2 linked regions of the Ovis aries genome follow. The protein of the gene in region 1 interacts with the protein of each later gene in a pairwise test. Links are inferred from orthologs where the notes say so. Each region holds a gene or a part of one and is shown on either strand. Other genes may lie near its edges.

Evidence for each region. The genes of interacting proteins can lie anywhere in the genome.
Region 2: the proteins of NDEL1 (region 1) and CEP170 interact in a two-hybrid assay, tested with the Homo sapiens proteins (2 studies listed by BioGRID and IntAct). The link is inferred for Ovis aries from reciprocal best matches to the Homo sapiens genes NDEL1 and CEP170.

What each region holds. Positions count from the first base shown.
Region 1 is NC_056064.1:27,824,360-27,828,671, reverse strand, and holds the start of NDEL1 (nuclear distribution protein nudE-like 1), read right to left. Parts: upstream 2,804-4,312; 5' UTR 1-2,803. UniProt on the Homo sapiens protein: Required for organization of the cellular microtubule array and microtubule anchoring at the centrosome. May regulate microtubule organization at least in part by targeting the microtubule severing protein KATNA1 to the centrosome.
Region 2 is NC_056065.1:33,253,034-33,256,552, reverse strand, and holds part of CEP170 (centrosomal protein of 170 kDa), read right to left. Parts: intron 2,334-3,519; coding exon 498-2,333; intron 1-497.

The DNA.
Region 1 (4,312 bases):
GCTATTCTTCAATGTAATCTTTGTAATTGCCTTAATAAAAGTGGATATGAAATTTAAAACAAATGGTATGACATTTATTAGAGGAATCTGGACAAATGAATTAAAACTGTGAATATATGTATAACCTTTTACCCAGCACTCAACTTATTAAGGATTTATCCTAAGGAAATTATAGAAGTAATATGCAAAGACGTATGTTCAGTGATGTTTACTGCAGCATTGTTTTATCATTATGCCCAAAACTGGAAACAACCTAAACACCCAGGAGACTCATTTAATAAATCATAGTATAATCCAAGCACTGGAATACTACACAGCTGTTAGGAAGGACAAGGAAGATTTTATAAATTAACATGAGATGATACTCAAGTGATACTAAGTGAAAAAAAGAGGGCTTCTCTGGTGGCTCAGTGGTAAAGAATCTGCCTGCCAGTGTAGGAGACGCAGGTTGAATCCCTGATCCGGAAAGATCTCACATGCTGCAGAGCAACTAAGTCTGCCCGCAACAAATATTGAGCCTAAGCTCTAGAGCCGGGTAACCACTAACTATTGAACCCGCGCACCACAACTGCTGAAGCCCATATGCCCTACAGCCCATGCTCTGCAACAAGAGAAGCCACTGCAATGAGAATCCCAAGCACCACAAAGAAGAGTAGCCCCCACTTCCCGAAACTAAAGAAAAGCCCACAGGCAGCAAAGACCCAGCACAGCCAATAAATAAACAAGTTTAAAAATGGTTAGAGAACAGTAAATACAGTTTGACACAAGAAATATTGTTTTAGAAGTCTAGTTAATTTCCAAAATATATAAAGAACTACTACAACTACCACTACTACAACTCAATAACAAAAATACCAAACAACTCGATTTAAAAATGGGCCAAGAACTTGAACAGGTATTTCTCCAGAGAAGTATACAGATGGCTAACAAGTACATGAAAAGGAGCTCTACATCACTAATCATCAGGGAAACACAAATCAAAACTACAACGAGATACCACACCCCCTGGGAGGAAGAAAAAAACCACCACCAGAAAATAAGTGTTGGTAAGGATGTAGAGAGATTGGAACCCTTGTACATTGCTGGTAGGAATCCAAAATGGTACAGCCACTATGGAAAACATTCTGAAAGTTCCTCAAAAAAGTAAACACAGAATTACCATATGATTCAGCAAATCCATTTGTGAATACGAAAAAGAATTAAAAGCAAGGACTCAAGTAGCCATCTGCACACTCGTATTCACAGCAGCATTATTTACAATAACCAAAAGGTGGAAGCAATCCTGTCCATCAGCAGATGATATAAACAAAATGTGGTGTCTATAGACAATGCAATATTTTTCAGCTCAGAGGGTAAAGTGTCTGCTTGCAGTGTGGGAGACCCGGGTTCAATCCCTGCGTCAGGAAGATGCCCTGGAGAAGGAAATGGCAACCCACTCCAGTACTCTTGCCTGGAAAATTCCATGGACAGAGGAGCCTGATAGGATATAGTAGGATATAGTCCATGGGGTCGCAAAGAGTCAGACACGACTGAGCGACTTCACTTTCACTTTAAAAAAGGAAGGCAATTTTGACACCTGCTACAACATGCATGAACCTTGAAGACATTACACTATGTGAAATAAGCCAGCCATCAGAGGACAAATACTGTATGGTTCCATTCAAGAGAGAGTAGAGTGGTAGTTGCCAGAGACGGGTGGGGAAGACTAGGGAGATACTGTTTAATGGGTACACAGTTTCACTTGGAGAAGAAAAAAAATCTGGAGATGGATCTTGGTGATGGGTGCATGTCAATGGGAATGTACTTAATGCCACTAAGCTGTATGCTTAAAAACTAATTTTTATTTCATGTATATTTTGTTGTTCTTGTTCAGTCACTCAGTTGTGTCCAACTCTTTGTGACCCCATGGACTGCAGCACACCAGACTTCCTGTCCCTTACCATCTCCCAGAGTTTGCCCATGTTCGTATCCGTTGAATCAGTATATTTTATCAAATTTTTTAAAAATTCAATTTTTTAAGTAGAACTTTATATACCAGTGTCACTAATAATCTCTGGGGCTGGAATTATGTAAAAATTTTCCCTTTCTCTTTGTTTATATTTTCACCAGTTACCACAATCAGGAAAAAAAGGTATCTAGTTCCATTTAGAAAATGAAAGTAACCTCACACCCTGAGAATGCCGTCTTACAGTTTACAAAACACTTTCACAATCATCATCCTGCTTAAGCATCACCAACATCCCAAAAAACAGAGACATTTTTGAACTGTGTAGACCAGAAAGGTTCAGAAGACAGTGAATTGCCCGTCAGTAAGACAAGGAGCCAGGACTTAATCACAAGCCCCAACTCGGTCAGCTCAGCAAACTTTCAAGCATCACACCAGCTGTGTCGAAGTCAATCCCAGAGAAGCCATCTCCCAGAGATGAAGCTCGCTCTACAGCCTAGAAAAATGTTACCTGGGCAGCTCACGTAACACACAACCAAATCAAGGTGATGAGATTTTAGGGGGGTAGAGGTCAAATGATCTGGTTTCAGGAAGCCACCCCTGGTACCATCCCTCACAGGGACATAACCAACTTCACAAACTGACCCCAGCCTCTGACAGTCCCCCACAATGGACAGAAAGGGTCTACCAGGAGCCCCCCACTCTGGCCCTGATCTGGCCCAGACCTTATCCAAGCTGACCCCCCAGTCCCCACCATCCCAACATACCTGGTCCTGTGTCCCAGGCCTCGCAGATCAGATCAACAGCAGCACAAAGTGGCTGGAGCTGAAGCAGCTGAAACAAAGTGGAAATCAACAGGAAGTGTGAGAATCACCTTGTGACAAAAGAGGCACGAAGACCGGAAGTGGGTTTGGGCCAGGAAGGCTGCGGCCGGCCTTCTAGAAGTGAAGCAACCTTGCAGCCCCACTGCTCAGCTGCTATTGAGCAAGACTTCAGGGTTGAGGAAGGAGAAAAAGAAACTCAATCCCTAACTCTTTAGCCAGAACTTCAAGCTTCCCCTTTGTCTGTCTCCAGCCCTGTATTAGAGGGGAAAAGCAAGGAGGAGAGCTTTCCCACATTAAGGGTAGGAGATGCAGGATCCCTGTTGATTCAGTGGTAAGAATCCACCTGCCAACCTAGGTTCGATCCCTGGTCTGCAAACCAAGATCCCACATGCCCCAGAGCAACTAAGCCCATGCTCCACAACTACTGAGCTGAAGCACTAGCGCCCTAGAGCCCTTGCTCCATAACAAGAGAAGCCACTGCAAAGAGAAGCGCATGGACCACAAGAGAGTAACCCCCTGCTCACAGCTAGAGAAAGCCCATGTGCCACAACAAAGACCTAGTGTAGCCAAAAATAATAAATAAAAGGTAGGGCTTCCCCAGTGGCTCACTCAGTAAAGAATCCACCTGCAGTGCAGAAGACACAGGAGACTCAGGTTCAATCCCTGAGTTGGGACAATCCCTTGGAGGAGGGTATGGCAACCCATATATTCTTGCCTGGAAAATTCCATGAACAGAGGAGCATGGTGGGGTACAGTCCATGGGATCGCAAAAGAGTCAGACACGTCTGTGAAACTGAGCACACAGGAGATGCCCAGAACCTGGCAAAGCACACCTGTGGCTTCAGAGAAAAAATGGGAAGTCAGAGGGAAGTAGCCTCCGCCTACCACTTTTGGTGGCAAGACCTTGAATGAGTTGCTGTGTGTCTCTGTGTCTCATCTTTGCAAAATGAAATGGAGGTGACACCAGTACTGACCTCATGGCATTGTTTGGGCTTAAATGAGATAATGTGTGTAATTGGCTTCACATACATCCCATTATTCCCTTCAGTGGTTGGTGGCATCCCCCCTCCTTTCTGCCTCTCCAAATCTGACCCACTCCTTAAGTCTTTGGCAGGTCATGCCACCCTGGTCTGGAGTCACTTCTCGCCTCCACAGTGGCTGCAGGTCAAATGTGTCACTGGGTCCCACCATGTCGGAGAAGCACCACGGTTAAGAACTACGACTGAGGCCCTTCACCGATAATTCCTTCCCATGGAGCTGTCTATCTCCCCAAGGTCACCCAGGGAGGGTAAGGGCTGCATGGATTTGTCTCTGTTTTCCCAGGAGCATCTACCAGAGCACTGGAAGTTAGTCCATAAATGTTCATGGACTTTTAAGATGCTATGAAGGTTTCAGACTGACCTCAGGGCAGCTCAGGATCATGTTGTCTCCAGCCTGGGGCTGCTGCTGCTGCTGCTAAGTCACTTCAGTCGTGTCCGACTCTGTGCAACCCCATAGACGGCAGCCCACCAGGCTCCCCCGTCCCTGGGATTCTCCAAGCAAG
Region 2 (3,519 bases), on another chromosome or scaffold:
ACACACAAAACAAAATATCTCACCAAGTAGACAATTAAAATTCTCAAATTGGTTCAATATACTTCAAATTTTGAATTCACTATTTTGTACCAGGACTTTAAATGGAAGTGTATATAACTTCTGAATTTTCCTCCTGGTGGCCCAGAAGGTAAAAAATCTACCTGTATTGCAGGAGACCCGAGTTTGATCCCTGGGTCAGGAAATCCCCTGGAGAAGGGAACGGCAACCCACTCCAGTATTCTTGCCTGGAGAATTCTATGGATAGAGGAGCCTGGTGGGCTACAGTCCATGGGATCGCAGAGAGTTGGACACAACTGAGCAACTGACACTTTCACTTCACTTTCAAGCTAACTAAGGTGACTTTTTAAGGAACAAAACCCTCTACAGTATGATCTTTCTGCTGAAAATTTTGGGAATCGACACTAACAATTTTTCAAAGAAGAAGTCCCAAAACATAAAAGAAATACACTAATATAAAAAGTCTGGATCCAATTTACCTGAAGGAGAGCCATGTGCTGAGGTCATACTTTTGACCTTGGAGTCGGATAGTCGAGAGATACTGTTAGCTCTAATTCTAGGAGAAAATTTATCTGAAGGTACTAATCTGGCTCCACTTCTAATGATGGCTTCTGCGGTCCGTGAAGAGGCACTACTTCTAGAGATCGTTGCTTCAGAGTCACTGCGAGCCGATAATGAGCCAAGCCTTGTTCTACGAGGCTGAGCCAACAAATCAATCCTAGAAATGTTACGCCTTCCTGTGGGAGGTTTGGATGTCGAACTTGTTGTGGACACTTCAGAAGCAACAGATGCTTTGTCAGCATCAGCAAGTTCACTGTCCGAAGCTTCACCGAGTCGGGCTCTGCGCAAGAGGGAAGTCCTGGTAGGTCGTGGCCTTGGTAGAGTGGTGGATTTACTGGACGAACCAGGTGCTCCAGGAGAAGTCTTGGATTTAGTTACTTTACTTCCTTCTAGTTTGGAATGTGCGTGCTCATCAGTTGAGGTAAGTGGAGTCCTTCCATGAGATTTACAAGAGTAAGTTTCCTGGTCAGATGACATAACATCAGAGATGGCCGAGTGAGGTACACTAGAGGTTTGGTCATCATCTGTTAAATCTACTGAAGGCTGCCTTATTCTTCCACTGGACTGCACAAATTTACGACCCTCTGCCCGAGAACCTATATCTGCAGAACGACTTTTTGTTTTTTTTTCAATTTTCTCCCTAGCACCCGACGATGACGACTTTGTAACATCTTTGGAAGGAGAACCTGTGGAACACCTATCTTTATAGAGACTAGTGAAACTCTTTCGCTTTTGGGTTGACTTTCTTTCAGTCTCTCCAGTAACCAGACTGATGGTACTAGCTGTGTCCACATCAGATTCGGGTGAAATGGAGTTGTCTCTGTTATAACTGGGAGTATCTGGGCCTTCATCAGTTTTAGTATCTTCACGCAGTTTAGCTTCTAGAAAAGCCATTACTGCTTCTGTGTCTTTTAGAATAAGGGTCGTGTCCATACTAGAATCAGTATCCATAGAATCACTTCTTTCTCTTATTCTGCTGGCTGTTGTTAATGCTAAGGAAGGGGGTGTTGATAAAGGCTGTTTATTTATATGGGGGATAAGTTCTATGGGTATGTTGGGGCTAGGTTTTTCTATAGTGAAGCTTCCTTGTCGCACTAACGACTTGGAGGATTCCTTCTTGTCTCCTCCCTTTGAGGTCTGACTTTTCAGAATTTCCTCAGCTTTTCTTCTCTTACCCTCATTTTGTATTGCTCTTTCTCCTTTGCCTGCAGAAAGTCCTGGAATTTTTTCTTGAGGCTGTGACTCCTGCTTAAAAGACTCCTCCCTACATCTATCTATCTGACCCGCAATGGTTTTTGAAGAAGATAATTTAGTAGGTGTCCACTGTGCCTGTTCCTTTTGTTCTTGTTGCTGGATTTTAGCTAATGTTTGCTTTACCAAAGAAGCTTCCTTATCAGTTTCACTTTTCTCCTTCCCAGAGTAAGAGCTGCCTAAGTGAAGCAGGGCTTTACTATCTCCACCATTTTTAAGAGTCTCACCATTTACTGCCCTGTTCATTTTACTCAAGGCTCTGTCAGTGTCTTGTTTATCTTTCTGGTATACCTGGGCAGGTGCTTCTTTCTCCTGAAGCTCCGTGTCTTGCTTTTCTCCTATCTCTGACCTCTGTGCTATAACCTTTGTTCTGGAGCTCTCAAGAGACTTTTCTTCACTTGGAAGCTGGGGAAGGGTTCGTCTCCTTCTCTCTCCCTGACTAGCCAAGGAAGCTGCTGAGCCAGTACTTCTCAGTGAAATGCCAGATTCACTGATGTCTGTATCTATAAAAGAAAACAACAAAAAAGGAACTTACTGGGGCAAAAATGTGAAAATAAAACAAATGTCATATTACCTTAGATTTTGAAGTTAAGAAATGGCTTAAGTATAAAGTAAAACTTTGAAGAAATAAGCCAACATTTTGACAGTATAATTGAAAAAGAAAATGCAACACTGAGATGCACAAATAGGAGAGCAAATTTTATGAGATGAAAATTAGGGTCATCTTATCTTAAACCTACATCTGTTGCTCTCTTTTTCTTTTAATGTCATTAATGGAAGAGAAGTTCACATTCTTGCTTTTGTGACTTGTCCCATCTGTGAATTTCACTCACAAAAAATGGACTCTGCATAGTATATACAGAAGTGTAAAAATAATGTCTAATAAACAGTTTATATGCTATACTTTGAATTACATAGTAAAGAATAATAATATACCTAAATTTTAACAAGCATATTATCTACTGAAACAATGACAAGTCTGGATTTCCTAATAAAACAGAAAACGTAGAACTTTAACAATGTTTTCTCTTTATTTAATTTTTTTTAAACAATGTTTTCTAAAAGAAAAAATTCAAAGTTAATTAAAAGATTTTTAATAATTGTAAGAAAGGAAAAAGGTGACAGGACTTGTCATAATTTCACAAACTGAGTTATTTTTAAATTATGATCTTCTGGTATATTAAAGCCTCAAACTGAGAAGTTGATGGGAAAATATAAAACTTCAACGTTTCCATGTGAGAGACTTTGAGAATATTACTTAAGGAGTACTTTCCTGTTTATAAATGAAATGTATTTCTGAGAAAAGGGATCTTTTTAGGGAAATATAAATTGACATATAAAGCATTTAAACCTTTTGGGTATAAGTGGAAAAAAGATACTAGATATAGCTTCTGTGGTCATCCCTTTATAATTCTAAAATTTTAGCATCTAAATTTCATAGCTATACTACGGCTATAATGTAGAAAAATACTTAATGACTTACTAATGTAACTTTAATTTAGCAAATGATCGTGTTATTTGGTTATGTCTTATCTCCACAGTACTACTTGAAGCACTAAACTTATTTAGTTATAGCTATTTTATCTTTTTGTACTTTTCTAGCATTTCTCACACTGTCCTGGCTCGTAACACACACTCAATGAATATTTGACAAGAACATTTTAAGTAGATTTATCAGCTTATCTAAGT